Bombyx mori: one gene and its partners. The protein of the gene in region 4 binds, or shares a complex with, the protein of the main gene of each other region. Links are inferred from orthologs where the notes say so. Each region holds a gene or a part of one and is shown on either strand. Other genes may lie near its edges. The genes, in order: RNA polymerase I-specific transcription initiation factor RRN3; DNA-directed RNA polymerases I, II, and III subunit RPABC4; Znrd1; DNA-directed RNA polymerase I subunit RPA2.

What was found.
Region 1: DNA-directed RNA polymerase I subunit RPA2 (region 4) and RNA polymerase I-specific transcription initiation factor RRN3 share a complex: the UniProt entries of both Homo sapiens proteins name them as parts of the pol I pre-initiation complex. The link is inferred for Bombyx mori from reciprocal best matches to the Homo sapiens genes POLR1B and RRN3.
Region 2: the proteins of DNA-directed RNA polymerase I subunit RPA2 (region 4) and DNA-directed RNA polymerases I, II, and III subunit RPABC4 are in contact, whole or in part, in a cryo-EM structure (PDB 7OBA), measured with the Homo sapiens proteins. The link is inferred for Bombyx mori from reciprocal best matches to the Homo sapiens genes POLR1B and POLR2K. Residues at the interface, in NP_061887.2 of Homo sapiens: Val87, Ile92, Cys93, Lys94, Glu95, Val98, Ala101, Glu102, Gly105, Arg106, His159, His160, Gln704, Asp705, Val793, Phe794, Gln805, Asp808, Asp809, Asp810, Leu812, Pro813, Phe814, Ile815, Gly816, Ala817, Lys818, Leu831, Val848, Asn851; in NP_005025.1 of Homo sapiens: Met15, Tyr17, Gly20, Glu21, Ser30, Arg31, Asp32, Pro33, Ile34, Arg35, Cys39, Gly40, Tyr41, Arg42, Ile43, Met44, Tyr45, Lys46, Lys47, Arg48, Arg51, Val53, Val54, Phe55.
Region 3: DNA-directed RNA polymerase I subunit RPA2 (region 4) and Znrd1 share a complex: the UniProt entries of both Homo sapiens proteins name them as parts of the pol I pre-initiation complex. The link is inferred for Bombyx mori from reciprocal best matches to the Homo sapiens genes POLR1B and POLR1H.

What each region holds. Positions count from the first base shown.
Region 1 is NC_085116.1:3,272,868-3,280,744, forward strand, and holds part of RNA polymerase I-specific transcription initiation factor RRN3, read right to left. Parts: coding exon 7,830-7,877; intron 6,906-7,829; coding exon 6,806-6,905; intron 3,905-6,805; coding exon 3,752-3,904; intron 3,012-3,751; coding exon 2,793-3,011; intron 1,714-2,792; coding exon 1,349-1,713; intron 949-1,348; coding exon 720-948; intron 182-719; coding exon 1-181. UniProt on the Homo sapiens protein: Required for efficient transcription initiation by RNA polymerase I (Pol I). Required for the formation of the competent pre-initiation complex (PIC).
Region 2 is NC_085111.1:12,247,130-12,255,183, reverse strand, and holds DNA-directed RNA polymerases I, II, and III subunit RPABC4, read right to left. Parts: upstream 4,552-8,054; 5' UTR 4,359-4,551; coding exon 4,295-4,358; intron 3,646-4,294; coding exon 3,553-3,645; intron 2,887-3,552; coding exon 2,864-2,886; 3' UTR 2,714-2,863; downstream 1-2,713. Other genes in the region: uncharacterized protein LOC119628526, read right to left, coding at 5,855-6,523; ARL14 effector protein-like, read left to right, coding at 7,875-7,954. UniProt on the Homo sapiens protein: DNA-dependent RNA polymerase catalyzes the transcription of DNA into RNA using the four ribonucleoside triphosphates as substrates.
Region 3 is NC_085112.1:11,749,688-11,757,055, forward strand, and holds Znrd1 (transcription-associated zinc ribbon protein), read left to right. Parts: upstream 1-4,112; 5' UTR 4,113-4,113; coding exon of another isoform or gene 4,114-4,118; coding exon 4,119-4,245; intron 4,246-4,469; coding exon 4,470-4,680; intron 4,681-4,938; coding exon 4,939-4,963; 3' UTR 4,964-5,254; downstream 5,255-7,368. Other genes in the region: chromobox protein homolog 1, read right to left, coding at 126-300, 403-460. UniProt on the Homo sapiens protein: Core component of RNA polymerase I (Pol I), a DNA-dependent RNA polymerase which synthesizes ribosomal RNA precursors using the four ribonucleoside triphosphates as substrates. Can mediate Pol I proofreading of the nascent RNA transcript.
Region 4 is NC_085132.1:2,351,577-2,359,659, reverse strand, and holds part of DNA-directed RNA polymerase I subunit RPA2, read right to left. Parts: 5' UTR 8,007-8,083; coding exon 7,920-8,006; intron 7,610-7,919; coding exon 7,280-7,609; intron 6,109-7,279; coding exon 6,016-6,108; intron 5,265-6,015; coding exon 5,118-5,264; intron 4,523-5,117; coding exon 4,350-4,522; intron 4,044-4,349; coding exon 3,794-4,043; intron 2,724-3,793; coding exon 2,568-2,723; intron 991-2,567; coding exon 824-990; intron 373-823; coding exon 225-372; intron 1-224. UniProt on the Homo sapiens protein: Catalytic core component of RNA polymerase I (Pol I), a DNA-dependent RNA polymerase which synthesizes ribosomal RNA precursors using the four ribonucleoside triphosphates as substrates.

The DNA of each region.
Region 1 (7,877 bases), on a different chromosome or scaffold from region 4:
TCCAGGTAATACTCCATTGGACAGTGAGCTTGCTAGTTTAGAACATGGACTAACAGACATTAAAAAGTCGTCATCGTCTGCCTCCATTTTCTTTTTCATGTTTGAGTATTGAGTTTCGTCATCGCCTTCTTTTAACCAGTCTTTGTAATCGATGCACAGCGGCCATATTATTTTACCGCTTCTGAAACATTCAAAGAATTGATTTCTCTCAAGTAAGTTATAGTGTAATTGTTAGGAGGTGCATAATTAGAAACGGTTTACCCTATCTATTTTAGAATATTAAATTATCATTATACCCTCACAGCGTAACTAAGGACTCGCGACATATTAGTTTGCACAGACAATCATAGAGAAGTTGCTCACGGAACTTTACCTTATTATCAATAATTAATAACAATACGTAATAAAAGCGATTTGGTTATAATGGTAGGTTTTCGTGAGTCACATTTACTACTTTTACAGGTTTCTCTCGCGTATGTTTTATTTTATTACATTATATTAGTTTTCTGATAGTTTCAATTAAATTGGTTTATGTGTTTTAATATGTATATTATAGCAAAATGCAATTAATCTCGGATATAGGTTAACTAAAAATTTGTAACGCTAGTGGAAGCAGGCCAAGCTGCTTTTACATTTTGAGAAACTACTGACACTCCGCCTGTCGTAAGTTATTTGACAAATTTCCATACATTTGAGTTATAAGAAGAGGGTATATTTACCTAGGTAATTGATAAGGGTCGTATGGAAACCATTCATCATACTGCAAAATATCTGCAGACTGTAACGTGTGTCGCGCGTTGTTCTCAATAATAGCTTGACAATACACAATTTGGTGAGATCGAGTCACCGATGAAAATGCTCGTGTCACTTGCGGTGGGCAGGTGCGGAGAGGATTCAGTGTGCAAGCCACTAGCCGAGGAAGATTAAGAGACTCCACAAAGTTTAAGCCTGAAATATTAAAATAAATATCATATTAAATAGAGATAAATTATACAAATCTGTAATTGTTAATAATTTAGTTATATTTTACTGAAATTACCATTACTGAAAGAAGTGACCAAAATATTTTTTTTTAAAGATAACCTTTTTGTAAATGTGTCAGTTATACTTCACAAATGTGATTTTATTCTGTGTAGATTGCTTAGAACTGAGCTTAAAAATAGCCTTTGAACCATAAACAGAAAATTAAAACCCTATTTCATGAGCTGTAAATGTTATGACATATTGATCCATCAAATAAAAGACTGTATTTAGTAAAGGCTTTGAAGGTGCACAACGAAAATACTTAACAATAAATAAACATTCCAAATAAATATTTTTAATATATAGAATGCTAAATTATACTCACTTTCTTTACTCATAAACAGATGCTGGTGTTTGAATGCAATTAGGTAAAACACAGCATGACATATAGCATGGAAGGCTCCATGAGCTTTAATGTTATCAGTAACAGTGGTGGACTCTTGAGCTGCAGAGATGTAGGAATGGCACCAATCTGTCATTGTCTTCAAGAATTGTACTAATCTTGAGTTAGGAACTCGAACACAACGAGCCAGCAGGCCTGCAAGATGACTGGCAGCTGTTCGTCTTGTTGCCAATGCACCAGGTCCTAGACCTTGAAGCCCTGCCGCTACTGTCCACAGATTGTTGAGAACTCGGTCAGCGCAATGTTGGTTTATTGATATTGTATACAGCAGTAAAAATTGAACATGCCTGAAAAATATATACAATATGTGATTAGCATATTTTGAAACTAAATGTCATGTATATATGTTTAAAAAGTGTCATATTAAAATAGTTGATTGCTGTATCTACGCTACCAATTTTTTTAAATAGTGAATTTCATTACATATTTCACTTAAATATAAGTGTTCCACTTGTGTGCATTGACATTATCCTTGTGACAGGTTAAAAAAAAAGAACCACATTTATTACTAGCATTGCAACAATTTTTTTAAATCTATTTAAATGAATAAAAATATTTACATAAATTAACATTAAATATTTACAGTTTAATACCATTTCTCCTCTTTTTTCAACCAATTCTCTGGTTTTTTTTTGTTTTCTCCAGTAGAATCTATTGACAAGCTTATTTAAATATAGTTTGGTATTTGGCTTCATGAATTATTTGGAATTGTTTAGCTAAATGCCTTAATCTTTTATATTTTAAAAATTATAATTAGTATAAATCATAACATGTCAGTGATATAGTAGAGTAAGTGGTTGGAGTAAATTTAAATTAGGTATAACATTTATATTCACAAAGATATAGGTCAAGGAATAATCAAGTTTATTGAGATTAACATTTTTTATGACATTAAAATTTATAAAATTACAAATTTCACAAAAATTTGTACAAAAGATCATAAATTTGATGAGATCCTGTGTTTGCGAATATACCTCATTTTATTCTATTAATTGAAGCTGCTAGAACAATGTATATTATATACATCACAACAGGACTGCTTTATGGAAGTTATAGGATATTCGCTTCCATTGCCATTCTTTATTATATTTATTAGATATTTATATCATATCATTACTTATTACGATAAAAATAAAATAAACCTCCAAAATTCTTCCTAGATAAGACATTTATCGCATAAACACATCATGCTATACACACTACTTAATTCCAATAAAATTAGCTTCAGTATATGGTCTTCCTCATCACATTATAAGAAGCATCTAGCCTCATCATTGTATGCATGTGAGAGTTTACATGTTTTTCATTTATACTTTTGAATTTTAAAAACACAAAATGAGTAAGAATGTATATTATATTTTCTTACCTGATTCCGTAAGTTGGTAGTATTATTTTTTCAAAAGCTGTGCACATGTGGTGCAAAATAGGGTCTCTTTCTTCCTGTAGCCAGTGCAATACTTCTAGCATACTATAGTCTAGGGTTTCAGAGATGTCATCATGTTGTTCCACATCCATGTCAAATAGTGTGTCATTCTGTTTCATTTTATTGTCACTTTCCACTATATTGCCATCCATTACTATCATTCTGAATAAAAAAAAATAAGGTGAATATGTGAGCTTTACTAAGTGGCATGTCAAATAAAATTAAACCACCATAAAGGTTGTTATTTCAAGTAGGCCTTCATAGGTGTTTTTAAATCGTCATGACATTATGGCTAAGTTGGAAAACAGCTGCATCACAAGAGAATGAGTAAGAAACTTGGAGCTTGCTCTTTTTCTAATGTATCTATCTACAATATTTTATTAAATAAGTACATATAAAGGTAACTTAAACAAAACAGTGTGCTTAGTGTGAGTTTTTTACGTTCTCAATAGCATAAGCTAGCCCAAATTTGTGTGCAGTAAGAACAGCTCCTAGCAGTAAAAAACTCACACTAAGAACACTGGTCTGCCTTATTCAATGCTGGACAGAAATCTGTTTGTAGGGTTGTGGATCACAAATTCATAAGGTCCCGTCTAACATTAAAGTAGCTAGCTGTTCAAAATACTTTGATTTTTCATCTTTAACCTTTTAAAGATTAAATCTAAAATGAGAGCTGTAATAAATTATGTCCTGGCCATACAAGTTTAAGGACTATTTTTATTTCTAGTACGTAATTGATTTTAACAAAAATTTATAACTTAAAATAATCAGTTTACAATTTGTTTTCAGATTGAATTTAAAAAATGGCTGCCTCTTACATACACCTTATTCATAAATCTTAGTTATTTAGACTGACTGCATGACATGTCTCAATATGTACGTACAAGGTTTTGTTTACTCACCTATTAATAATAATCATCATAATTTCCTCTGTAAGTGAAGGTAGGTATTTGCTAATCCATATAAGGTTATATATGAAAGATCTATTTGAACTACAACCAGCTTTGTGATATGGAAATTGATCTATCACAGTCTCCATTAAAAGTTCATTTGTCCTAAAACAATTATTTGTTAAAATATTATTAATGTAAACATCACCTGAATTTTTCTCAATTCAGGTAATATTTTACATAGATTTTTTTAGGCCTAAATTTTTATTCTCTTGATGCCACACTAATATATCGACCCTTGAAAGGCAAACGTGACTAAGCGACAATGAGTGAACTTTACAGTAAACTAATTTAAAGTTGAAATACCTGAAAAAAAAATCTTTTTTAACTAATCTAGCTGTAGGATTGAAATGATTTTAATAGACCTAGAAATATTTTTTTTTTGCGCATCGAATATTATTATTGCCTATCATTTATGTAAAAAGCAGTTATTGTCCTTAGTCACGTTTGCCTTTCAAGCGTCGATATGGTTTCATGCATTATATTGCATAGTCAAATGCTATGTATCTGTTAAAATTTTAATAGTGAGAATCCCAGTAACACCATCATTCCAAACAATGCTTTTTTGTATATTTTTCAAGATTTTTAGTAAGGATATACTTCTTACATTAGATTATGTAATTGTAAATGAATACCAACATTTCATATTATCCTTCTGTATCTTCTTAAAAATGTGGCAACATCCAATTGTCAGTAATTTTTTTATGAAATGAATAGACCTTCTGGTTCTATTCAGAAGGTCACCATTCATTTCTTTGATTTCATACCAGTTTACAACTTTGGTATGTGCTATTTTTGGTCCACTTACATGTGACCATTTGCATTCTGCACCAGCAATACAGACTGAGCTGCTCAGTGATAATATTAGCATCCATCGCTGTTCAGCTCTTGTATTTAGGTAGCCGCATTTCATGCTCCCACTCAGTAATAATTGCCCGAATTTCAGTGTTACTGAAATAGAATATGTTTAGAAATTTCATTTCCAAAACCCTTTTCCAAAAGTGCTCTTCACTGATTCTCTAGAAAAGTTTTGGTAAATACTCAATCAATGGTACGAGGGCAGCACTAAAAGTATCGGGAATGGAATATTTCCACTGTCCTGTCATATTAAAATCTTTTTAATTGAAAACTCCTTGGTTTTAAAAATCGAATACCATTTATTTATTTAAAAAAAGATTCTCGGTCTTGTCACGAGGTTTTGTCAAACTTGTTTAGTCGTTGAGAAAATGGAATTGACTCGAGAAAATTCAAAAGCGATGATTTATTATGACTTTCGAAGTGGTTTAACACAAAAACAGTGTGTTGACCGGATGATTTCTGCATTTGGTGATAAAGCCCCATTCAAAACCACAATTTATCGCTGGTTTGCTGAGTTTCAACGTGGACGTGTCAAGCTCAGTGATGATCCCCGTCAAGGTCGTCCAAAAACTGCAGTCACCCAAGAAAACGTTGATGCTGTGCGTAAGCTGATTGAGGAAGATCGACATGTGACATACCGCGAAATTCAGGCAACTTTAGACATTGGCATGAGTCAAATACAAATAATCTTGCAGGAACAATTAGGTGTAAAAAAGTTGTTTTCCCGATGGATACCGCATTCGCTCTGTGAAGAGCAAAAAGCGGCTCGCGTTACTTGGTGCGTCAGAACTCTCGAAAGATTCCACGCAGGATCCTCAAATGCTGTATACAACATTGTATCAGGTGACGAATCCTGGATATACGCGTACGAACCCGAAACAAAAAACCAGTCACCAGTTTGTGTGTTCGAAAATGAGTTAAAGCCAACAAAAATTGTTTGTTCACGGAGTGTTGCAAAAAAAATGGTGGCCACGTTTGTCTCCAAAACCGGCCATGTTACGACTATTCCTCTTGAGGGACAAAGAACGGTTAATGCAGAATGGTATGCTAGCATTTATTTGCCACAGGTCGTTTCTGAACTCCGTAAAGAGAACTGCAACCGCCGCATCATCCTCCATCACGACAATGCGAGTTCTCACACCGCGCACCGAACAAGAGTTTTTAGAGCAAGAAAACATATAATTATTAGACCAGCCGCCGTACAGCCCCGACCTAAGCCCTAATGATTTCTATACTTTCCCTAAAATAAAGAATAAATTGCGTGGACAGAGATTTTCATCACCTGAATAAGCTGTGGACGCCTACAAAACGGCCATTTTGGAGACCCCAACTTCCGAATGGAATGGTTGCTTCAATGATTGGTTCCATCGTATGGAAAAATGTGTCAAATTTCGCGGAGAATACTTCGAAAAGCAATAAATACATTTTTAAATAGTAATGTTGTGTCACTTCGTTAATTCCCGAAATTTTCAGTGCCGCCTATGTATTGATTGATGTAGGTGCAAAATCACACAACATAGTTTCCAGAGTCATTTATAAAGCCAGATAGAACTCTGTGCACCTGGTTATTTTAAGAGAACAATTTCAGTCTCTCATTGACCCATTTATTATTAAGTATTATATTAAAATTTTTGAGTGTGTCACAGAAGGCTCAAATATGATCTCATCAGCTAATGTTTTGTAAGTAGTATGGTGGGTCCCATAAACTTTTTAAACATCTATGTGATGATCTTGTGGTATTCAAACATTTTTAGTTAGCTGCAGAAGACAGTTCCCAAAAAGGGAACTGTTTTAGTATAATGAGATCTGACCAATTAAATATCTCATCCAACCTTTGTAGGTTGTCAAATATATCATCAATATGCTTCATGAAGCATTTTGATATATTAGCCTATATCCACTCACTTAAGAGTAAATACTGGGGCTAAATCAATACACATACTCAAATAATTAAATTCCCAAACCACTCTAATTCAAATTGTTGAAGATTTCTGTAAATATTTTATAAATTTTTATGTATCGTGACACATATAGGGCGCTTCATTAGAAAATAGTCCTGACATTACTTAAATTGTTAGATAGATATAAACATCCACAAACAATGTAATATGAAGCATAACCTTAAAGAAAGTTACGTAAAATACTTACATCGGCATTATTGCGATAATTTGTCCTATGATTGTATGAATGTTAGACCAGCTATTCAATTTCTCTGTTGGTGGAGTGTCATCCCAGTTTTCTTCATTAGCTAAAAATATCATAGTCATCATCAAATATATCTCTAACTAATGTTATGAAAATTATTATTAGATTAAGTAAGTCTGCCTAAAAAGGCAATATTTTTTTTTAAATATTATCTTGGATACTTCAACTTGTGACTGCTGGTTTGGAATCCTGCAGGCTGGTAACAATTTTTCTGATGGAATACTACTTACTTAACTAATGTTCACAAATGACTTCCACAGTGAAGTTGTGTAATAAAAATCAAACCCGTAAAAGTTTTAATTTCCTTAATTACTATCAGTAGAGAAACTTGTAAGCATGCGTGGGTAGGTACCACCACTTGCCTGCCTATTCCTGTCGTAAAGCAGTAATGTATTTTGATTGAAGGGTGGGGTAGTTGATGTACTGTAAAAACTAAGTCTTAGAACTCAGGTTTCAGGGTGGGTGGTAGCATTAACATTCTGTATGTCTATAAGCTTCAGTGAACACTCAACACCAGGTGGGCTGTGAGCTCATCCACCTATCTAAGCATTATAATAAAAGTAACGGACTAATAGCATGATAATAATATAATTCAGTTTTATACAATACAATATTTCAGTAGTTATATTAGTAAGAATATGAAATAAAAGAAAATCTCAAATCTTAAATGTTACTAGATTTCTGAAAGAGTACTTGTATTGACTTTTATGTGTTAAATTCTTTCACAATATTTCACAATGTTTTTATTAGTATTTACTGATTATTCGTTCATATAAATATATATTTTATATGTTCATTTCTATTTTCTTTGTCTTTTAACAATTTTATATTTAATATTACAATTATAGAATAATATAATGTAATAGCATAATTTATGACATCTTCATAATTCCTACAAACCAATGAATCGTAAGTGGCTATCATTGTCCAGGTATACTAGAACTACCACTGTGTGTTGCTAACTTACCTTTAAAAACCTTAACCAGACAGCTCATCACTTGCGGACAATGGTAAA
Region 2 (8,054 bases), on a different chromosome or scaffold from region 4:
TATACCATATTGGAATATCAATTTTCAAAAACAAACTACTTAGTTATTTTTGTAAATATCTTGTGTCTGATCATATCACGGGACTGTCATAATTATTAAGGTACAAAATGTATTTAAGTACCACCATAATAAATAACTATCTATTAAAATATATATGTACATAATCGATAAAAACCTAAATCTACCATTATGATCAAGAAGCTTATAGCAACAGAAAGGCATCGACGCTAATCAATGATTTATAATTATAGGCTCCTAATTCTAAAACTTATACAAAAAATCTGCTATACGTTTTAATTGAAAAAACTGTTGAAATAGACATTCAAGCGGAAACGATAAATCGTATCAGTCTCGAGAGGCGACATAAAGTGCGGTAAATAAAAAAATAAATATTTTAAACAAAATAACATGCATACTTAAATAATTCACATCTACAAATAATGTTTCTAATATTAATCCAATTCCGGATTGGCATGAAAGAAAAATGATAATATTCAATATAATTTCAATTGAATGCCTATTTACTGGTATTGTCATTATTCACATTATTTTAAATCATACATGATCCATCCTTTCATCTCTCATTACAGACGGGACTCTATCAATTTTACTTGCCCTTGTTTACCATTACTTATAAGATCAAACCGTTTACAATTTAAATAACAAAATCAAAATTCGATATGTTACTCAAAAATGTGATCCGACGTTATAATTCTCGCACTATCCAATAAAATTGTTTCCAATTCTTTGCTATTCCATTGTTGTGCGAGCGGCTCTTTTTCCATTTAAGCCAGTGTGCTTAGTGCGAGTTTTTTTAACGTTCTCGATAGCGTAAAAGTTAGGTCATATTTGTATGGAATGGGATCGCTTGCGTACGTTTGCCGCTAGGGGCGGTTCCAATTGCATACAAAATTGGCTTAACTTTTACGTTATCGAGAACGTTCAGAAGCTCGCACTAAGCACACAGGTGGCCTGTAAGCGGTCTTATCTACAATAATAAGTTGTTCTAACTGATTAAATCCATCTAATAAAATTTCAATGGTTCGGTACTAAACGTTTCATATTAAACGTCCCCAAGCTAGGGTTTTCCCCTTTGTTATAATGGGTGCTTGAAAGTTAAACATGACAAATGTATGTACATTTAGTCCTCGAATGCCAAATGTTTTTAATGAAGAAGCTGACTTCGAATTTAAAGAGGACTCTGTGATACAATAGGTAGCTAAAGTCAACTCTACTAATTCAGCAAAGCCATAAATACATATTTAAATGCGTATTTTACAGAATACAAATAGCTCATTTCCATATTAGTTTTTCAATGAAATTATCTCCTCTGTTAGCCACTAGTATGATTTTAAATAAATACATAATTATTATTTTCAAAACACTTGCGAATAGAAATATAAGCTTTTTAAAGATAATCATTTAGTTATTTCAAGTTTAAAATGATTTTTAATTGATATTTTTCTATGTAATTTTTATATTTCAACTACCGATAAATTGAAATTTATTACGTCATCTGTATAGTTCTCTAATTGGGACATAATATAAATTCGAGACAGAACATGTAAAGTTACTTGATCATAAACTGTCATGATTTTGTATTTTGTTTCCAAGAATGTTATTTGTATGTGCTATAAACTTTTTGATTATGATTAGTGAGTTGGTAACTATAGAATGGAATTAAATCTCTTTATTCAAATTTTCTTTATGCATGTGTATACCCATAGCATGTTTATATTCACTATTATATAACGTAAGCAAAAAGTTGACTTAGAGGAATGTGTGAAAAATTAAATTTGATATTAATGTCGTGAGTCCTAACAATTATTTATTGATAGTTTTTATGGATCGAAAAAAAATGTATATTTGTGGCTATTGTAAAATTTTAGACATACATTTTCTGGTGTTTTATTATGAGAGGTAATAATTTTAATAAATTGTTAAAACTTTATAATGATGAAGTTACATAATTAAAATACACTGAGATATTTCCCTTTTGTTTTTTTTATTAGTTGTTATTATTTAACGGAAGTTTTACGAAAGTACTCCATATTGACACTTTGCGTCTGGCGCCACTAGCGGTGTCGTGTGCAAAACTGGCCAACGGTCACACGTAAATGCCGCCACCCATGTTTACGATTAAAGGAATAACATCGTGTAATGAAAATCAAACCCGCAAAATTATAATTTGCGTAATTACTGGTGGTAGGACCTCTTGTGAGACCGCGCGGGTAGGTACCACCGCCCTGCTTATTTCTGCCGTGAAGCAGTAATGCGTTTCGGTTTGAAGGGTGAAGCAGCCGTTGTAATTATACTTGAGACCTTAGAACTTTATCTCAAGGTGGGTGGCGCATTTACGTTGTAGATGTCTATGGGCTCCAGTAACCACTTAACACCTGGTGGGCTGTGAGCTCATTCACCCATCGAAGCAATAAAAAAAAAAGATAATGAACTCATTTGATATCTATCTATAAAGTTACATATTTTTCTTGCACTTAAGTCTTTTTTTTTTAAGGCAGTAGTTCATTTAGAAACATCAAATAAGTTGATTGATACTTCAAATCATTCAGATTACTTATATCTATTGGGTACAATTTAGAACACATATATCATGGCGGTAGGTGGCATTCATGTTTTAATGTCTATGGGCTACCACCAGTATATAATGTAAAGTGATGATGTAGATCTATAAATCTACTATAAAAAAACTACCTTGTATATATTTTTTTTCATTGGTCAGTATTATTAGAGCATAGACAAAGTAACAAAAATACACATTAACCTTATTATAAATTTATTTCACTCTTCTGTGCATGATGTATCCACCGAACTTATCTTCTAGGGTTTTGTTTCCAGAATTCGTTTACCGAGCGTCAAACACAACCACTGAATTCTTACTTAAGGAAAATTTTTCAGAATATTACGAACAAAAATATGATGAATTTAAAATCAACACAAACTACAAAAAGGGTAATTTTCTGAAGATTTTAACAGATATGAGTCGTCTATTATCAAAGGTGGCAATCTGTACATTTGGACAATTTTTTTTTATTGATATGTCAATACAGATTTATTTGAATATAATCGTCTCCTTCAAAGAATACGGTTCAAAACCTGCATTAAATAAAGGTTAATAGTTAACCTGTTATTTATCTAAGATGTCGTTCCGAAGAGTTTTGTGACTGCCAATGGAATACAAAGTCAATAATTCGTTTTTCTGATTTACCAATCATTGTCCAAAAGTCAGATTGCCGCCTTTGATAATAGTCGACTCATTTATTACATTTATTTTCTTGCAAGCTCAATGTGATCTAAAGGATAAAACAGATGGTGTAGTTGTGTCAAGCTGTGCAACCATGCAAATGTGCAAATTGCATATACCAATATCCAAAGAAATATACTCTCGAAATGTGATCACGAATCACTTCCACAATGAAGGAATTAAATATGGGTGATACCTGTCAATACCTTTCTACTGATTAAAATCACTAGGCTGTATCCTAGTCCTATAATCTTTACTTTAAGAATATATTTATAGAATCAAAAGGATACGTCTTTTTGTTCTTTTCTTGTACATTATTCTGTAACCACATTCTCTGCACCTAATAGGATCTCTTGGTTTGATTTCATTCTCTTTGTGACATTCTGAAAATGATAATGAAAGCATCATTTGTTTTGCAGACCCATATTATAGTTTCAGGATTGCATTTATTAAAGAAACCAACATTTAAACAGTTGAAGTAGATGATCGGCAAAAACAATAATGTAGAAAAGGGCAAACAATATAATTTACTCTCAATTGAATCAATTTCATTTTTCTAATACTTTTAAGTTTAGGTTTTTTAAATTTTAATATTAATATTAACAAGTTTTATTAAAAGCACTTAAGCTTTTACGGCTTTTAGCTTTACTAAAGAACATTTATATTTATACAGATGCATTCCCCATTTGAAATATAGTAAAACAATAACACATTAAACAAAACGCCTTAATTTATACAATGTTATAAGACAGTGTGAATAATTTTATAATCTACTATACACAAAAGACAAATTAACTGATTTATTAATTCTTTGTTTAGTAGACATTGACAAGCTTAGTGTTATCGGTAAGAACATTTTAAAAGTAGTTTCTTTCTTTTTTCTATAAAAAATGTTCATAAATCAAGAGAAAAAGAAATACAAAAAAAATATTCAATTATTGGGGTATGCTGATACCTAACAATTATTAGGTTATTTTGTGTTAGTGTTTTACAAAGTGATAGAAGTTTTGTTATTATTTGGTTACACTGTACCTCCACAAACATATATCATTGGCACTTTAGTAACTGATTGCTCTTTCCCAGTTGTGTCAGCCATTATGTGCTAAAATAGAGAAAAATTAAATAATAATAAAAAATGTGTTTTATTTTAAATCACCAATTTGATTTAAGCTTTATATTAAGTGTATAATCTATGCTTTGGATTGTTATTTTGTGTGTAGAATCTATGGTTTTTGGATTTGTTTAATTAAGCCGCAAAGGGAACTTAAACCATAAAACGTTTTGTTCAAAAGAGGGCTTGTCTTGTTGAAGAAAAAAATACGTAAAAAAAGGAGTGGAAATTTAAAAGAAAAAATCATCGGGACATTGGAGGGGAACCGAGGATTATTTTTAATTATTTGTTCGTCGTTTGATCGTCAATGTTTGAATGTAAAATTATCTGTTCGTCTTTTATTTATTTATAATTAATTAAACAAATGATCACCCTTCAGTTGGCCCCTCTTACTAGATATCTTTGTTTTTATTGCTCAGATTAATTAATTTTGATCAATTATTGTTTGTTCGACGACTATTGGTGATTGTTCGATCATAAAAACAAGTAAATTCGAAATTATTAATTATTTTATATCTAATAAGCAAATTATCACCTCACGCCTACATTGCGCATGCGCCGGTTTTGTCAGTCAGATGGCAATGGCCGACGGCCGTATTTACTACCTTTTTGTTACGCGCGAACATTAACGAACAAACGACGAACAAATAATTAAAAATTAAAAAAATCGAAAATTAAAAAAGGGGACCAAATTCAGTGAGCCGTAAAGCAAATAAATGGCATATTTTTTTACATTTTATTTATGGATTGAGTTAGCTAATCTGTGCATTAAGCTCCCAAACATAGAAAAACAGACTTTTTGGCGGGAACGCGAGGAGTGATATTGTGTGATTTGTTATATTTTGTCTATTTAGTGTTTCTTCGGGTTTAAATGTGTAATAATGGTGGTTTATTAGCAGTTTAATATCTGTGAAAGTGCACAAATGTGGGAAAATGGAACAAAGCCGCTGGACGTAACTTCTCGGGATCCTCCAAAAAGTCCACTGAAAAATCTTAGTAAATGACCACCATTTTACTGAGATTATATTTCATCCCATATTTTCTCATTTCATTTCGTTTTCATTTCATTTCATGCCATGTTTCACAATAATCAACTTCATTTCATTTAATAATATCATTTTTCATATAAAAAAGTTATCATTAAAATTAAAATAAGACTTGACCTAAAGGTCTTAGTTACCAGGTCATAAAATCCCTTAAAAAAACAAACATAGTAAACAAAGAAATAAATATTTTTTCATTTTTTTCCCTACCTGCACCTGCCTATTCGCTTAATACTCGGCAAACTTCTTGAGCATTAGTTGACGTAGTGGGGGTAAGTTCGCGCATCGTACAATTACGTACAAAAATGTTAAGTTATTAAAAACAACATAATATGTATTTATTTATATATTTATTAGTACATGAACAAAAAATACAGGTTAATAATTGTAGTAATTTAATCTAGGGGTAAAATAGATATTCCTTCCATTAGGTCAAAACTAGGAGCTGGTGCCAGGTCTTGGATCAGCTGAAGCTGAGCTGGTATTTTTAATTGTTTTTTCGCTATCATAATCATGACCATCATCATCATCATCACTACTTTCTTCATCCGTGTCGCAATCATCGTCAGCAAAAATTACAAACTCATCAGTGACTAAATCTACCACATGATCACTTTTTACATACTCCGCCTCAATATCTTTTATCTTTTGACATATTCTACCCCATTCCGGAGCACCCATCACCGCGACCTTTTCCTTCACTAGCTCTATTACTTTGCCAGTGCTCCAGTCGACATTTTTGCTACTGACATACCCTTTAATAGCTGCCCAAGCCATTTCAATTGGGTTGAGGTCTGGATGGTATGGAGGTAAGCGAAGCACTGAATGGTTGTGGTTTGATAAAATTTTATCAATGCTGTATGTTTTGTGTTGTTCCTTATGTGCTTTAATCAAGCTAAAAAGCTGGGGTTTCAACATGTTTTCATCGTATGGAATTTCTTTTTCTTGTAACCATTTCTTCATATAGACTTTTTTGGCATTGGCAGTTGGAGCGGGGTCAGACTGTTTATAGTGATATGACGCATTGTTGACTACTACAACGGAATTTGGTGGCAGATTTGGTAGCAATTGACAACGCAGCCATTTTTCGTAGTTCAAATAGTTCATGTTATCGTGGTAGTCACCAGATTTTGTGCCAGCTTTAAACAAAAGAAGGGCATTGGGAACAAATCCATCTTCGGAGCCAGCATGCACTATTACTACACGCTGTCCTTTCGAAATTGGTTTTTTTAAACCCCCAGTTGATCCATCTGACCACGACATACCACTTGCATGTGATGAGTCGACATAGGACTCATCGGTGTACACTATCGGTCTTCCTTCTTGCCTATATTTAATTATTTTTTGGAGATATTCGATCCTTAGTAGTCGAATATTACTTTTTTCAATTAATAGCTTCCGATTATTTTCTGTTCTTTTCCATCTGAAGCCTAGCTCTTTCATAATTCGTCGTAAACTTCGTTCCGAGCCATTAAAATTTATATCTTCTTTCAATTTTTTACGAAGTCTTTCGACGGTAGGAAGTTCGCTGTTTGTTATGTGATAATTATGAATACATCTTTTTATTGCAGATTGGTCGAAACTATCAATTCCGGTAACTTTCTTCTTCCCTGATCTTTTTTTACCTGGAGTACGAAACACGGCGAGCAAGTTAGAGCCCTTCGCTTCATTAATAATACGCCTAACAGTACTGACTGATGTTTTTGTTGCCTCTGAAGTCTCTTTTACCGTTTCCATATCATTATTTCCCTGCTTTTTAAGAAAGCAATATACGTCGTACACCATTTTTCTAGCTTGTCTTTTTAATACTACACCAGTTTGACGTGGCATAGTATATTTTTTATAAAAAATCAAGAAACACTCAACAAATAGCAATAACAACAAAATCAACAAACAATAATAATTATAACAAATAACTTCAACGATTAATATTAATAGACTTTTCACTGTACGCAAGCGTACTTTTGGGAGCAAGCGGAACGAGTCTCAAATATATTAAGTGTATAATCTATGGGAACGAGGGCGCGGTGCGGGACGCAAGGTTCGACTGATCTACCAACAACGCGCTCGATACGATTTCCCCTGCCGTCGCGCCTCACCCTCACCACCAAAGTGATCTAAAATTCGGTTCTGCGCAGTCAAGGTCATTTGCTCACAAAGTTTACCGCATAGAGTAAGATTATATATTGTTTACCGGTTACAGCTGGCTATTTCAGCTTCTCAGTACTTCTCACCGACGGGTAGGTGAGCTCACCTCACTAGCTAAACCTGAGAGAATTTGCTAACACTAGGCCTAACAAAAATAGTCGCAGAATTCGCAGAATCTTCCACCGGATAAATATATAATAATAAATAATAATAATAATAAATTAAATATCGTTTGTATTCGGGTAATAACGCGCGGAAGAGAATATTTTTTTAATATTATTTTGTGTTTGTAGCATGTACTTTTTAAAAGATGCGTTTCTTAGATAATTTTGATCCTAAAAATTCAGCTCGTGAACGTAGAAAAGCAAACAGGAAAAAATATTTCACTTCGTAAGTTGAAACAATTTCTATTCTATTGAATCCGTTCAAGTCTGAATTTGTAATATATATAAATATATTTTCATCAATTTAATAGTCAATATTTCTAATG
Region 3 (7,368 bases), on a different chromosome or scaffold from region 4:
ATGCGTAAAGCTCAAAATAATTGAACAGTATGTGGGTAGCATTCTAGAAAGGTAAAAAATCCGCTAGTACCTATTGTCAAAGCATGTTTACAAACATTGTGTAGGTACCTAACGTAGGAACTTACTTAGAGTACCCTTTCCACTTTAACAGATATTCGACTTTCCCGTTTTTAACCCTTCTGTCAAGTATTTTCTCCACAGAAAATTCTTCTGGTTTCCCGCCGGGAACAACAGTTCCAGGTTGAGCTAAAGTGTTGTCCGTCTGACTAGTCTCCATGGGTTGTGCCGGTTGAGCATTTTCTGCGAACGATAGCTCTGCTTCTAGTGATTCATCCATTAGTTATGAGATAAATGTCTAAATTAATGGTAAAGCGTGTTCCACAATAGAAAAAAAGTAGGTACCAATAAGTTTTCGAAGCCTAGAATTGCACAGCGGACTCAAATTTTCATAATTTGGCATTTGACATTGTTGTTCGAATAATTCGTCCACTAGAAAGGCAATGAGTACTTCGGCTATACAGTCATAATTTTATAAGAAATAACCAAAATCATCCGTATGGAATAAAAAGTAAAATAAAACTAAATTTAGAAATAAATTAATAGGACTGAGTGAGGGACATTAGATAGCACTGCAGGTATTGGGTGAAATGAAATGAAGTAAGCTCTTAGTTTATTAGAGCAATTTTATTGAATTCTATGGAGCTCATGGAAGAACGCAAGTAGACACGTCCAGTGGTTTTGTTTTATTTTTACAAATATTGAACGTTTAATAAGCAACTGTTATAATAAGTTTCAACCTGAGGAAGTACCAAATAAAACAATGCACACAACTTCCGTGCAAAAAGGCTCCTGATCCTTCATCTAGAAACCCCCTTTAATAAAATCCTCTTTTACATAAATGTAGAATTGAAATTATTATCTCAATACAGTTTTATAAAAGTCTTTGACATTTTTATTCTATCTCCCCATCTGTTAGATACTCTCATCTATCGTTCTTCCCTCCTTCGACTTTTTCCAAGTTAAGTTTCCAACATAAGCAGTTTGAAGTCTTTCTACCTAAATGTACTAACGGACAATTTCATTACTATAAGTACTATGACAATGAAATCTCGGATTTTGAAACCCAAACATCAATTAAAAAAATTTAAAATCATTGGGCATTTCGTCTTTTAGGCTGTGTTTATTGTATTTATTTATAGTGAATTTCATAATTTCACATATTTATTTTATAGAATACCTGTGGTGAATGGTTTTTTCACACACAGACTAACAACGGGAGAGATCCCGAAGAAAATAAAAAAAATACATGTGTGCAATTCACACGTGGTAGAAGTGAAACCTTCCAAAATTAAAATACAATTATCCTAAACGTCATAAATACCTAGTCAGGTCATAAATTCTGTCACATGTTTAATGTAAAATAATTGAAACAAGTTTATTCATTATGTAATCATTCATATACCAAAATGAACTTAACAAAACATAGATTCTTATGACACTAAAGTTTATTCAAAATGACCTCCGTGATTTTGAATACAGGCCTTCGATCTGCGCGGCCAGTCGTCTATCGCAGCACGAACGAGGTCCATGTCAATATCGGCGGCTGCATTAATCAAGGATGTCTTGAGTGACTCCAAATTGGGATGAGGCTTTGAGCACACCTTTTCCTCCAAGTGTCGCCATATCTTGTAATCTAACGGATTCAAATCTGGACTGGAGGAGGGCCAGTCTTCGTGCCGGATGAAGTCGATTTCACGCGCCGCCAGCCAGTCTTGTGTGCTCTTTACTCTATGAGCTGGCGCCGAATCTTGTTGGAATACCCAGTGCCTGTTATTGAACATGGTATGAGAAACAGGTTCCACAAGGTTCGTCAGGAATGTATTTTGATACACAACTGCATTGGTTTTTACACCTTTCTCACAAAAATGTATCTCTGTTAAGCCCCAATAAGAAACTCCCAACCATACCATGAGCGAGGATGGAAAATAACCTCGTTGGACACGCGGAATACGGTTGCTCGCTTCTTCACTATGTACGCTGCGTACACCTTATCATTTTGTTTGTTGTAGCTCTTTTCTACGGTAAAAATTTTTTCATCCGAAAAAAGAATTTCCCGATATTTTTTTCCCGCGTACCGCTTCAACAAAGCGCGGCATCTCTTCAGTCTCAGGTCCATTAGACGAGCATTCAAACGATGTCCTGTTTTTCTTCGATATGCCCGAAGCCCTAAATCTTCATTTAACACCCTTTTCACCCTGGTTCTGCTTAACCCCATCTGAAGGGCCAACAGTTTCTGCTTACGTTTGGGATTTCTTTGAATTCGCGCCTTCACAGCTTTTATCACTGCTGGAGTCCTAACAGACCGAGGGCGACCACTTCTTGACCTGTCATCTACACTAGAGTCTTCATTGTATCGTTTGATGGTACGATAAACGAATCTTTTGGTTATATTCAAAATTTTCAGTATGTTAAAAATTTGAATTGGCGCGTAACCGCAACGATGCAACGCAATACCTGCAACATGGTCTTCTTTAAGCGTCCACTCTATATTTAAAAATGAGTAAAATTCTAAAAGTATACATTTTTATTTTCATGAACAATTCGAAATTCGAATTCAATAAACTTTTTTTGTGGCCAGCATTTTAAAAGAAAAGTTTTTACTGTGTGACAATACTTATGACCTGACTAGGTATATGTAAAATTTTGTCATTAGTAAATAATTGTAAGGTAGCGCCCTCTGTGAATTGTTATTTTAATTTCACGTATAATCCTAAATTAAAATTCACTACAAGAACTTTCATACACGCGTTAGTATTAAAAAATCTCACAGATGGCGCTGTATTAAATAGTATGTATATTTCTGTCTCATTCTTTGCTGGCTTCATCCTACACATTTTTGTATTTGTGTCTCTTACCTGTCGTTTTATCCGTTGCATCCGGTTTGAAATCACAACGATTCTAAAGAAGTTTTCACTTCAAAAGACAGGCTGTCAGTTTGAGGGAAAAATGTCATGATATAAAAAAATGTGTTTTACGTTTTTAAAAGGTTCAAAGATAAAAATCAATTGATTGTTAATGTATACGATTTTAAGGTGCGTGTGGAATAAATAAATGCTTCCTATACTGCAGTTTGAGTTTAATCCGCAACGACGACAGTTGTCAACATATTTCCTAAATACCTACTAATCTATATATGAGAAACAATGAAGATGACTGATTTTAGAGATCCACTATTGAAGAATTGCGTTTATAATTTCGTTTATAGAGTGGAGTTAGTAATAGTGTAAAGAGCAAGAGCTAAAAATGAGCTGTAGTAGACTGTAGTGGTTATATCTACAGCTACTGGGAGCGTTCTGTAGTTCTGTAGGCATTGTCACAGACTGTGGTAGAGAGACAAAAAGTCCACCAAAACTAAAACGTAGAAGTGCAATCTTCATTATTTTAATTACAGCACGTCATTTCGTATCCTCCCGATCCACTAACGGTGCTTTTAAGCACTTCAAATCACCAGTCATCGTTCTCGTCGAAACCGTCGCTTGCGACAAAGGGCTCGGCGAGTAAATTAACCCACAGACACAACCCACTGAGTTTCTGGCCGGATCTTCTCAGTAGGTCGCGATTCCGATCCGCTGGTAGATTCAGAGAAGCACTGCTCTTGCTAGGGTTAGCGTTAGCAACGTCATCAGGTTTGAGTCCCGTGAGCTCACCTACTTGTTAGGTGACGCTAACATAGCCTCTCAAGGCTATGAGCTTAGGTAAGAAAAAGAAACAGTTACTGAACTTCATCTTTTCAAATTTTAGTTACAAGTGATCTAATACTATCAGTATGGGCTATGTTTCCTTTGTCAATTGTCAAACAGTTAAAAAAAATTGTACGTAAGTAATGAATTTATCATTATAGTAAAAAAAAAATAGGTTTTTGTATAGCAAATACTTAGGGTATGTATACACTAAAACTGTCTAAAACCCTTCACAAAAATATATAGTATGCTTCATATTGGTTTAAAAATATATTTTGGTTATGTTTAGTACTAATAGATAAAGATTTAAAATAACCTAATATTCTAAACAAAAATACACAACCCTTTTAGTGATAATTGTGTTTACTTTTAGAAATAATGTCCACTGAAAGCCCGTTATCAACTAGTACAGCGTTTTGTGCTCGCTGTGGGTCCATATTACCCTTGCTACAAGAGTTTGGCTCCGTGAAATGCTACACTTGTAAAGCACATTATGAGGCTGATAGTAAGTATATAGTTGCCAATGAAAAAATTACTTTCATATAAACGGGATACGATTTTTCAGCGTTATGCTTTTGTATAATTTTCGAATATTCACTATTAAATTTATAATAAATAAAAAAACTTTAGTGATACTTATGAAATCCAGAAAGAACCTGTTGTATTTGTTTTCGAAATATAAAATAAAAACTTAAAAAAATGTTTTATTCAGAAATTCTTTTTTTACAGATTATAGTAAAATGAAATTTCAATACACAATACATTTCAATACTATATCTGTGATCACAAATGAGAATATACTACATACTGATGGTCCTGAGGGTCCAGTTGTGGAGAGAAAATGCGCTAAATGCGGTTACGACAGAATGTCATATGCAACTCTACAGTTACGATCGGCCGATGAAGGACAAACAGTTTTCTACACATGTATAAAGTGCAAGTATGTAAATTACAATATTTATTTGTATTTCGATGAGCAAGTCATCAATATCTGTACTTGTATTAAATAAAATTGGACCCTACCACTAGCCTAAGACAGGAAAATAATTGCAACTTGTGGCCAAATTTCCTTGGTAATATAAAACTGGACATAATAATGATCTTGTAAGCAACTACTATCTCAAAAATAAAATTATTTCCTAATTTAAAAAAGAACACATCGTACAAGATAATATCGTAAAGTATTATTTATTTTCAGATACAAGGAAACTGAAAACTCCTAAAGGCTGCTTTATACTAGTTTTAAGGTTGTCAAAGGAAAACTCGGCAATAGAATCATTGTATCAGAATCACTTTATGCAAAAATCAGTTTTACTGATTGTTTTAAATTAGGTAAATTTAATAAGGATTAAAATTAATCACCATGTAACTGGTGCGTAATTTTAATTCCATTTCTTGGAATGATAACTTTTAAACTGTAAATTCTATACTGATTAATCTTAAAAACCATGTTTTAAAAATTACATGTAATAGAATCAAATCTGAATAATTGAAATTATAAACATTTGTCCAAATGTTTTTTTTATGCTGAGAAATACATTTCTATTTTTAAATAATAAGTTCAATGAAAGTTTCTTTTTCAAAAGGTTTTATTTCCATGTTTCTAAAACCATAGCAATATTGAAGAGTTTTATGCAACAAGTTTATTTGGATCTTAGTGTAGAAGATTTACATTTGACAATTTTTGATAAACTTATAATACACTACTCAGAAATAATTCTATGTAGAACAAGCTCGGCCATATTAGTTTCCTACAGTAAGCATAATATGCCTGTATAACAAAAGTACACACTGCTAATCTTCCATAGTAGAAGTCACTGGATTCTGTAATACATACATATTTATTAAGGAAAATTTTTACCTGCCTCCTAAGGCCTTATCCCTTGATACTAACACCAGCACAATCGCTTGATACTTGTAAACCGGCATCGTATCCTATAGACCACAACAACATCAAGTGGGCTGTGAGCTAGCGTAACCATACAATGAAGAAAAATAATCGTAGTATTGGCAACAGTGTCCGTTGTGAATGATGTTTTAAAATGAGATTTTGCTCTAGAAATGTGGGCAGAAGCTATGATGTGGTTGTTTTAGATCACTTACACATTCTCAAGTAATAACAGTGCCGTGTCAATTGCTGAGCACCTGAGGTTTACTCAAGGCAAAACAATATTCATATAATATGTCATTACATAGAAATTCCAACTTTGAGTGAGAAACTTATCATTATTACATTTTCCTTTAGCACATTGGTTCTCAAATTTTATGCTCGTCAAATCTAGATTTTGGTAGTGATTTGAACAATTTTCCAAGTGGTCTTAAAGCACAGTCATAATAATCTGCTAGTAATCTAAGACTATTAATAGTAACGAATCGACACTTCCAAAGGCATACAATTCATACGGCGGTAGTAATATCTTGCATGTGTTTGTTTTGCCTTACAATATTATTCTCACGTCCAACTAAGAACAACTTATATTAAAAAAAAACAATTTAGCCAGTAATGGTTTTGAACAGCAAAAACTTAAAATATTGTTTCCTTAAATTGTGAGACTTTTCATAAACAAATTACAATGTTTTGTCACAAGAGAAAATAATGCTATGTGATTTTGAACGCGCTACAAATAAAATGTAGTTAATTATTAAATAGACCAAAATACCATTCGAGATAATAAACTTTTAAAATAGACATTTTAATGGTAGGCAGCGGCTTGGCTCTGCCCCTGGCATTGCTGACGTCCATGAGCGACGGTGACCACTTACCATCAGGTGGGCCGTATGCTCGTCTGCCTACAAAGGCAATAAAAAAAAAAAAAAAAGACAAAGCTAACAAAAAAATGCCTAACAAAATATATATCTCATTAATAAATTATGCCAATAAATTATGCCTAAACTACAATATTTAACAAATAAATTAAAATGAGGTTTGCGTGATCAAACCGGCAGCTATCTACGAAATACAATTTTTATTATAAACAATCTAGGCTGTCGTGACGGTTGAGAGCCGCTGTCTTAGCCTATTTCTAGAGTACTTACTGTCAATTGTCAAACGTTTGTTTCACACATCAAACGATGCCGCGCAACAACAGTTCATTCACAAGCCGCAGGTGAAACCTACTTTTCACATTCAATACACGCTACCTTCCGACGAACGAAGTCTTTTTTAACGTGCCAGAAAAGGATAGGTATATGTTTCAACTGTTTTTTTTTAATACTGACGGAAGGGTCAGCTTGGTTTTTCGGCTGAGAGCTGGTCCGAGCCGAGATGAGGCGGTAATTAATTTGATCATTCGATGTACGTTGCGTACGAACGGATTAGTGATGGACACAGTCGATGAACTTATATTATCGAAATTAATATGAAAGTATGTTCATGGTAGACACAATTAAAAATACTTCTACAGTTTAGCATCGCGTTCTTTTTTTTCTCATAAAATTATTTTCGACGTTTATAATACTTTAAATATTTCATGGTCACGGACGACTAAGAGTTGCCGCGGAGATTAAAGTAATTTTAACTATTATAAAAAAAGCAATTGATTTTATAAAACACAGTTCGATATAATCGTTAACAGACCTTTATGCGGTCTTCCAGCGACAACAAACTGGCTTTACCGGCCGGTATCGA
Region 4 (8,083 bases):
CGAGGTGCGGCGGGGCGAGGTGCGGCGGGGCGAGGTGCGGCGGGGCGAGGGGCGGCGGGGCGAGGTGCGGCGGGGCGAGGTGCGGCGGGGCGAGGTGCGGCGGGGCGAGGGGCGGCGGGGCGAGGTGCGGCGGGGCGAGGGGCGGCGGGGCGAGGTGCGGCGGGGCGAGGTGCGGCAGGGCGAGGGGCGGCGGGGCGAGGGGCGGCGGGCGGGGGGCGACAGACCTGCGCGGACATGGTGAGGTGGTTGAGCAGTCCGCAGGGCGCGCCGTCGGGCGTGTGCACGGGACACACGAAGCCCCACGCGTCCGGCAGCAGCTGCCGGGCCTCCGTCGTGCGCATCTCCATGAAGAACGAGCCGCGGTGAATCGACCTTAAGCACACAACGCCATTATTAGCAAACGACCGGTAATCTTTTTTTTTATTGCTTAGATGGGTGGATGAGCTCACAGTCCACCTGATGTTAAGTGTTTACTGGAACCATCACCGCCACCCACCTTGAGATATAAGTTCTAAGGTCTCAGTACTCAGTATAGTTACAACGGCTGCCCCGCCCTTCAAACCGAAACGCATTACTGCTTCACGCCAGAAATAGGCTCAGTACTCACCTTTCCGCACGGATTCACAAGAGGTCGTAGGACCTCTTGTGAATCCGTGCGGAAAGGTAATCACTGGTGGTAGCACCAGTGATTACGCAAATTATAATTTTGCGGGTATGATTTTTATTACACGACCTTATTCCTATACAAATACACCGGACGTCTTATCCTTTGGGCCACGACGACTTCTAAATAAGGAAATAAATAAAAAACATAAATATTAACTTGAAATGCGACATATATCGCATCCTGTTGATGTTCTCGGCCACGATGGTGAGTCCCTTGTACTGCGTGAGGTTGACGTTGCTGGAGGGCGCATTCCCCGTGGCCAAGAACGTCTCCATCTTCTGCTCTAGACTCCCGCACGCGCGGAGGATTTGTTGAAGCTCTTTCTGTCAACGAAACCATATTTCTATACTTAATATTATTATAATAAACATTATTGCCTTTTGTTTATTTCACTTTTACACTAAACACAATATTGCAAATTACCCGAGCACAACAATGGCAGAGAATATTATGTGCGTGAGAGCAGACGTAGACACTAACGCGCATACGCACTTGTCAGTACCCAGGGAGGAAAAGTTACACTTTCTTCCCTGTACAGCGGGACGAAAACCTTCGGCGTAAGTAGGAGAAAATATTTGTTTGTTTGTTTGTATTGAATAGGCTCCGAAACTACTAAACCGATTTGAAAAATTCTTTCACTGCTTGGAAGCTACACTGTTACCGAGTGACATAGGCTATAATCTTTTTTGAAAAAAATTAGGGATCCTTACTAAAACGCCAATAATGTAACCAAAGGTATAAAAAAAAAATTACCTAAAATATTCTTTACATCGCGTGCCCTGCGAAAACTATTGATGATAGAATAAAAGAATGTACCACGACTTTGTAGAATACATTACTATTTACAAAAAGTGTCGCCACAGCATATGTCTAACTATTATAGTTATGCCACAATAAGTGTTCTTTTATTTAAAAAAATAAAACAACGTCATATCGTTGAAATTTTTGTTAAAGACCCGAGCGGAGCCGGAGCGAGCCGCTAGTTTGTTTATAAATTGACCGGCCTTCCTGTATGCTAGATGGTTGAAAGAATGGATGTCAAGCTTACGACATGATTTTTTTATTGCATGTATGGATGGACAAGCTCACAGCCCACCTGGTGTTAAGTGGTTACCAGAGCCCATAGACATCTACAACGTAAATGCCGGCACCCAACTTGAGATATGAGTTCTACGGTCTCAGTACAACGGCTACCCCGCCCTTCAAACCGAAACGCATTACTGCTTCACGGTAGAAATAAGCAGGGTTGTTGTACTTACCTATACGGACTCACACGACGTCCTACCACCAGTAAAGAGAGTACCATGAGATAATTCTATTCGAGAAAGTTATTTTGCTTTTAATCGTGTACATCAGTCTTTCTCAAAGTGGGCGATAGCGCCCCCTTGGGGGCGTTTGAAACCTAGAAGGGGGCGTTAAGGGGCCCAGAAAAAATGAGGGGTGTTGGTGTGGGTTAGGGGGCGATGTATTATTTGTGAAATTGTGGTTTTTAACTTTTAGAGGTGTATAAAAAATGGTGGGCACTGAAAAATAATTGATTTTCAAAGGGGGCGGTAAAAGAAATAAGTTTGATAATCACTGGTGTACATGAATTGTGGAATACGAAACACTAGCAGCCCGCCCCGGCTTCGCTTGGGAAGTAGGGTACGCGATGTAAAGAATTTTAGGTAATTTTTTTACACATTGGGTTACATTATTGGAGTTTCAATAAGGACCACAATTTTTTTTGAAAATATAATAAAGATAGCCTATGTCACCCGGGGATACCGTAGCTTTCCAACAGTGAAAGATTTTTTTAAATCGGAGCCTATTGTATTGTATTGACAAACAAACAAACAAATCTTTCCTCTTTATAATATTAGTATAGAAGTATAGATGTATATAATTACTCATCACTCACATGACCGATGACTAGTCGATGTGTTGTCTTGGCGCGTTTAAGGATCTGTATCCTGACGTTATTGAGAATATTCTGGAGTCTTTCCTTCAACACCTGCAAGTAGAGGTGGCCTCCCACCATCACCTCCTGCATCATTACAGCATCCGCTCCTTCCACCTGAAACCACGCAAATATATTTATTATATTTAAATAAAATTGCAACTTTATTGAGAAAAACAAATAGAGAAGACATTACACTGACCGGAGCTTGCATGAAGCATGAATTATCATGCAATTATATAATAGGTACCGCTACTAATTTCCAAGATTTGATAATTTTTATTTATTGCTTAGATGGGTGGACGAGCTCACAGCCAACCTGGTGTTAAGTGGTTACTGGAGCCCATAGACGACGTAAATGCGCCACCCACCTTGAGATATAAGTTCTAAGGTCGCAAGTATAGTTACAACGGCTGCCCCATCTTTCAAACCGAAACGCATTACTGCTTCACGGCAGAAATAGGCGAGGTTGTGGTACCTGCCCGCGCGGACTCACAAGAGGTCCTATCACCAGTAAAATTGTGTAATTGTGGAGAATTGGGTTTGATTCGACATAGAAGTTGTTAAACTGGGGAGTTGTTTTCAAAAGCTTAAGTTCGTATCTAAATGTCCATAAACATAGGTCATACAGAAATGGCATCAAGAGACTTCTCAAAAGCAGTCAGTATCGCGCGCATTACTCATCCACTTCAGCGAGAGTGGCAGTTTGCATGTTTTTTTTTTTGTTTTTTACCCTAGCTGTGAGCCTTGAGAGGCTATATCAGCGTAAACTTAACTAGTAGGTGAGCTCACGGGGCTCAAACCTGACGACGTTGCTAACACTAACCCTAGCAAGAGCCGTGCTTCGCAGAATCTACCACCGGATCGGAAACGCGACCCACTGAGAAGATCCGACGAGAAACTCAGTGGACTGTGTCTGAGCGTTAAATAAATATTTACTATATTCATGCCACGTTAACTGGTCCCGTGATGAGTTCGTAAAGAACTTGTATTACAGGTACCCGATAACGGAAATAAATGTAAGATTTTTATTATACACATATATATTTAAGATACATCCATAACCCTGGAAAATACATTTATATTTATCATACAAATATCTTCCCTTGGCGGGATTCGAACCCGCGACCCCCTTGTGTAGTGACCATGTCATTTACCACTACACCGGCGGCCTTTAGAACCCTCACCTTACACTTATTCTGAACCAGATCGTAGAGCTTCTGGACCATGAAGACTAAAGCGTGGAACTTGTCCGTGTTGTTCTTTAGGTGGATCATAACGCATCGGTCCAGGAGGAACTGGGCCGCCTCCATCTCGGTAGCCCAGGGCGGCAGCTCGTACAGCTTGGAGCGGAACATCTTGCCTAAGTACAGGCGACACTCTTCGGATGTGTGCAGACCTTCCTCGTGGAGCTCTCGGAGCATATTCTGGATGCAACTGAAACAGTATTACTGGTGGTGGGACCTCTTGGGAGTCCGCGCGGGTGGGTACCACCGCCCTGCCTATAAGCAGTAATGCGTTTCGGTTTGAAGGGTGGGGCAGCCAGCAGCCGTTGTAACTATACCTGAGACCTTAGAACTTATATCTCAAGGTAGGTGGCGCATTTACGTTGTAGATGTCTATGGACTCCAGTAACCACTTAACACCAGGTGGCCTGTGAGCTCGTCCACCCAACTAAGCAATAAAAAAAAAATTGAAGATCTGATGCAATTTCAATCCAACGAGGAACCAAGCTTGACTTACTTGACGTAGTACAAATCATTCTTATTATGCTGCAACAGCAGTGTGTATATGTAGTGATCCGGCCACGGGACCAGGCACTTCATTATGAGGAGTAGGGGAGCGTAGTACATCATCTTGCGGTACGAGAACATCAGCTTGCACGTGCCATTCGTTAGGAAATGCAGAACATTGTTCTGTAGAAGAAAGTTAGCTTGGTAGAACAAAGGTTTGTTATTCTAAAATAGCACCTACTAGGATAAGTTCAAGGTACTTTTCGGATCCTCCCGATCCACCAACGGTGCTTTTAGGTATCTCAAGCACCGGTCATCGTTCTCGTCGAACCCGTCGAAGGGCTCGACGAGTAAATTAACCCACAGACACAGCCCACTGAGTTTCTCGCCGGATCTTCTCAGTGGGTCGCGTTTCCGATCCGGTGGTAGATTCTGCGAAGCACAGCTCTTGCTAGGGTTCGTATTAGCTACGTCGTCAGGTTTGAACCCCGTGAGCTCACCTACTATTTAAGATTACGCTGAAATAGCCTCTCAAGGCTATCAGCTTAGGTAGGAAAAAAAAAGGTACTTTTTTATTCCACTAGTTATACCTATCGTGTTTCAAGTAGCCCTCTGTGTATGTAAGAAGATCCTTAGACTGATGTTCTAATAGGTAAGCAGTGGGGTCACTTGCTAGAGTTTGATGCTGGAATATATACAACTATTTCTTTTTTTATTACAAGCGAGTAATGTAAGCAATGTGTCTTGGACAATTAATTTACTTGTTTATTCAACTCACCGTGCTGGTCTGATCGGAGGTGACGCAACGTACTAATACTCCATAGTCTGAGAAGAGATTTCCTCGCATCTTCCATCCTGACCGCTTGATGGCCACAGGGTAGTTCCTTCGTGTAACCAACAACATACGGGCTAGACGCTCATGGCCCTAGTATTAAGTATTAACAAGTGTTCATTATCACTACATAGTATAAAACAAAGTCGCTTTCTCTGTCCCTATATCTGTCTGTCCCTATATCTGTCTGTCCCTATATCTGTCTGTCCCTATGTATGCTTAAATCTTTAAAACTACACAACGGATTTTGATGTGTTTTTTTTTAATAGATAGAGTGATTGAAGAGGAAGGTTTATATATATAGTAACATCCATTAAATAGTGGAGAAATCAATAATAAATTACAGTTTCCGAAGCGAAGTGAGGGCGGGTCGCTAGTAAACTATATATTGTTTGTGAGATAGTCATCTGTTGCCATTTGAAAGGCTTTCATATTATTACTGAAATTTTATTAAGACTTACAATAGCAGTAACAATCTTCTCTAATGACTACTGAATATTATCATGAACTGTCAGCTTTGAGATGAAGAATTATTATTTCAGCAAAAGCTGCATGTTAATCGATAGCTTCTCCTCAGTCAGACACTCTCATTACAGTGGTTTTGACTGCAGTAACAGCATTGGGAATCTATTCATACAGTGGGTTTCTAGAATATTCTTTTTCGTCTTCTATCAGCCCAGAGATGTCCACTGTGGGACATAGGCCTCCTCCAAGCCTCTAAAAAATGATTGGTCCTGCGCTGATTCTTTTCAGAATCACTAACACATACTTAATTAATTATTAACATTTTGTGCAATAATTTTACTGAAAATATAGTTTCTTTGAAATGACGGTAGTTACAAACCTTTATTACAAAATATCCACCCCATTCATCAGCATGTTCATTTTTCTCAATCAGTTCTTCAGGTGATAAATCAGCCAAATGACACATTTTAGACTACAAATTTAAATAAAGCATTACTTTTAAACAATATTCAGAACTACACCCCACTTTCAGGTGACCATAAGCTCCTCTGTTACAAGGGTAATAAAAAAGAAGGTTAGAATAACAAAAGTTTTCTTTCTAAATTGATAGTCATCATAATAATTTCATTATGACTCCACCAAACTATCCTCTGTATTACACTATTAACAAATATAAAGATTCTTAATGTTTAAATTATAGGGTCTGTTTTCCTTATTTCAACTTTTCAAATAATAATTTCATAGAAATCATAGTATCAGGATCCCAGGCTGTGAATGATTAACATATAAATTGCTCTAAAAGTGCTTTAGGCAATGAATTGCTAACATATCATTTAGTGATTATTAGAATTTTTTTTTTTTTTTTTTTTTATTGCTTAGATGATTGGACGAGCTCACAGCCCACCTGGTGTTAAGTGGTTACTGGAGCCCATAGACATCCACAACGTAAATGCGCCACCCACCTTGAGATATAAGTTCTAAGGGTCTCAGTATAGTTACAACGGCTGCCCCACCCTTCAAACCGAAACGCATTACTGCTTCACGGCAGAAATAGGCAGGGCAGTGGTACCTACCCGCGCGGACTCACAAGAGGTCCTACCACCAGTTATTACGCAAATTATAATTTTGCGGGTTTGATTTTTATTACACGATGTTATTCCTTCACCGTGGAAGTCAATCGTGAACATTTGTTAAGTACGTATTTCATTTGAAAAATTAGTACCCGCCCGCGGGATTCGAACACCGTTGCATCGCTATATACGAATGCACCGGACGTCTTATCCTTTAGGCCACGATGACTATCTTTGTATGCTCAAGTGTCAGTCGAACCTTCCTCCTAAAACTTTATTTGATGACCAGAATTGTAAAACTAGTTTGTTAATATAACAGAATTAGGCTTTAAAGGTAACAGTGTCCAATTTATTTGCATTCCATATACATTAACATGAGTTTACAGCTGACATATTTTTTTCACTAGTATTATAATACCATTAATTACCATGAAGCAAAAAGTTTCTCAAATTCTCTAAAGTATTTTTCATTATACCCCTCAATGTGTTGATACACTGATAGCTAAAATTACAAATTTAAAGCAAAATTATTTAAATTGAAATTTCAAAGGAAAATTACCACAATGAACTCACCTTAATCATAATGGGTAAATAACCTAAGGACCTCTCAATGGTGACAGACCTTCCGTCAATGCACAGAGTGACTCTGATCTTTAACTCTCCCTTGTATGTAGCAGCTCTCTGCCGGCATTCTGTTGGGAGGACCACTTGAGATTTAACCCCTACTGTATCCATGGGAACATTGGGTTTAGCGAATGCTGCTTCATCGATTGTCACTTTGACCTTTTCACCACTAGGTAACTCAAATTCCGATGGCAATAGATCAGCTATAGCAAATTTCAGGCCATCGTCCAGCATATAATTGAATGAATCTATGTGAGGCGCTCCAAGACTTTGAAGGTACTGTAACGAGTGTATGATTTATTATTCTTAAAATGAAACAAGTTAAAAAAGGAAATTAGAAAAGAAAATAAAGTAGTGTGATGAATCAGTACACGAATTTTCTTTTTTATTCTTTATTAGAGCCATACACCTATTAGGTTAAGTCGACTGGTATACGAATTAAACTAATTATTTATGGCTTAGTACAAAAAGTTTTAAATCTTTAATAACAAACTTCTCGAAGACACGCCATCGCGATTACTTCGTTGATTTTCAAATTGCTTTTAAGGGCTTACAAGAAAAATAATAATGAGGTGTAAAGGTTATTTACCGGATTTGCTATTTTTGGCGGTTTTCTATAATCTGGGTGGCTTGTGTACGCCAATGATGGGTTTTGGGCTAGTTTTTTTGGATTCATGTTGATTTAATTACGTATTTAACTTTCATATTCTTAATTTACAGTAGGTTTTATTTATAAATAAACACAAATTGACC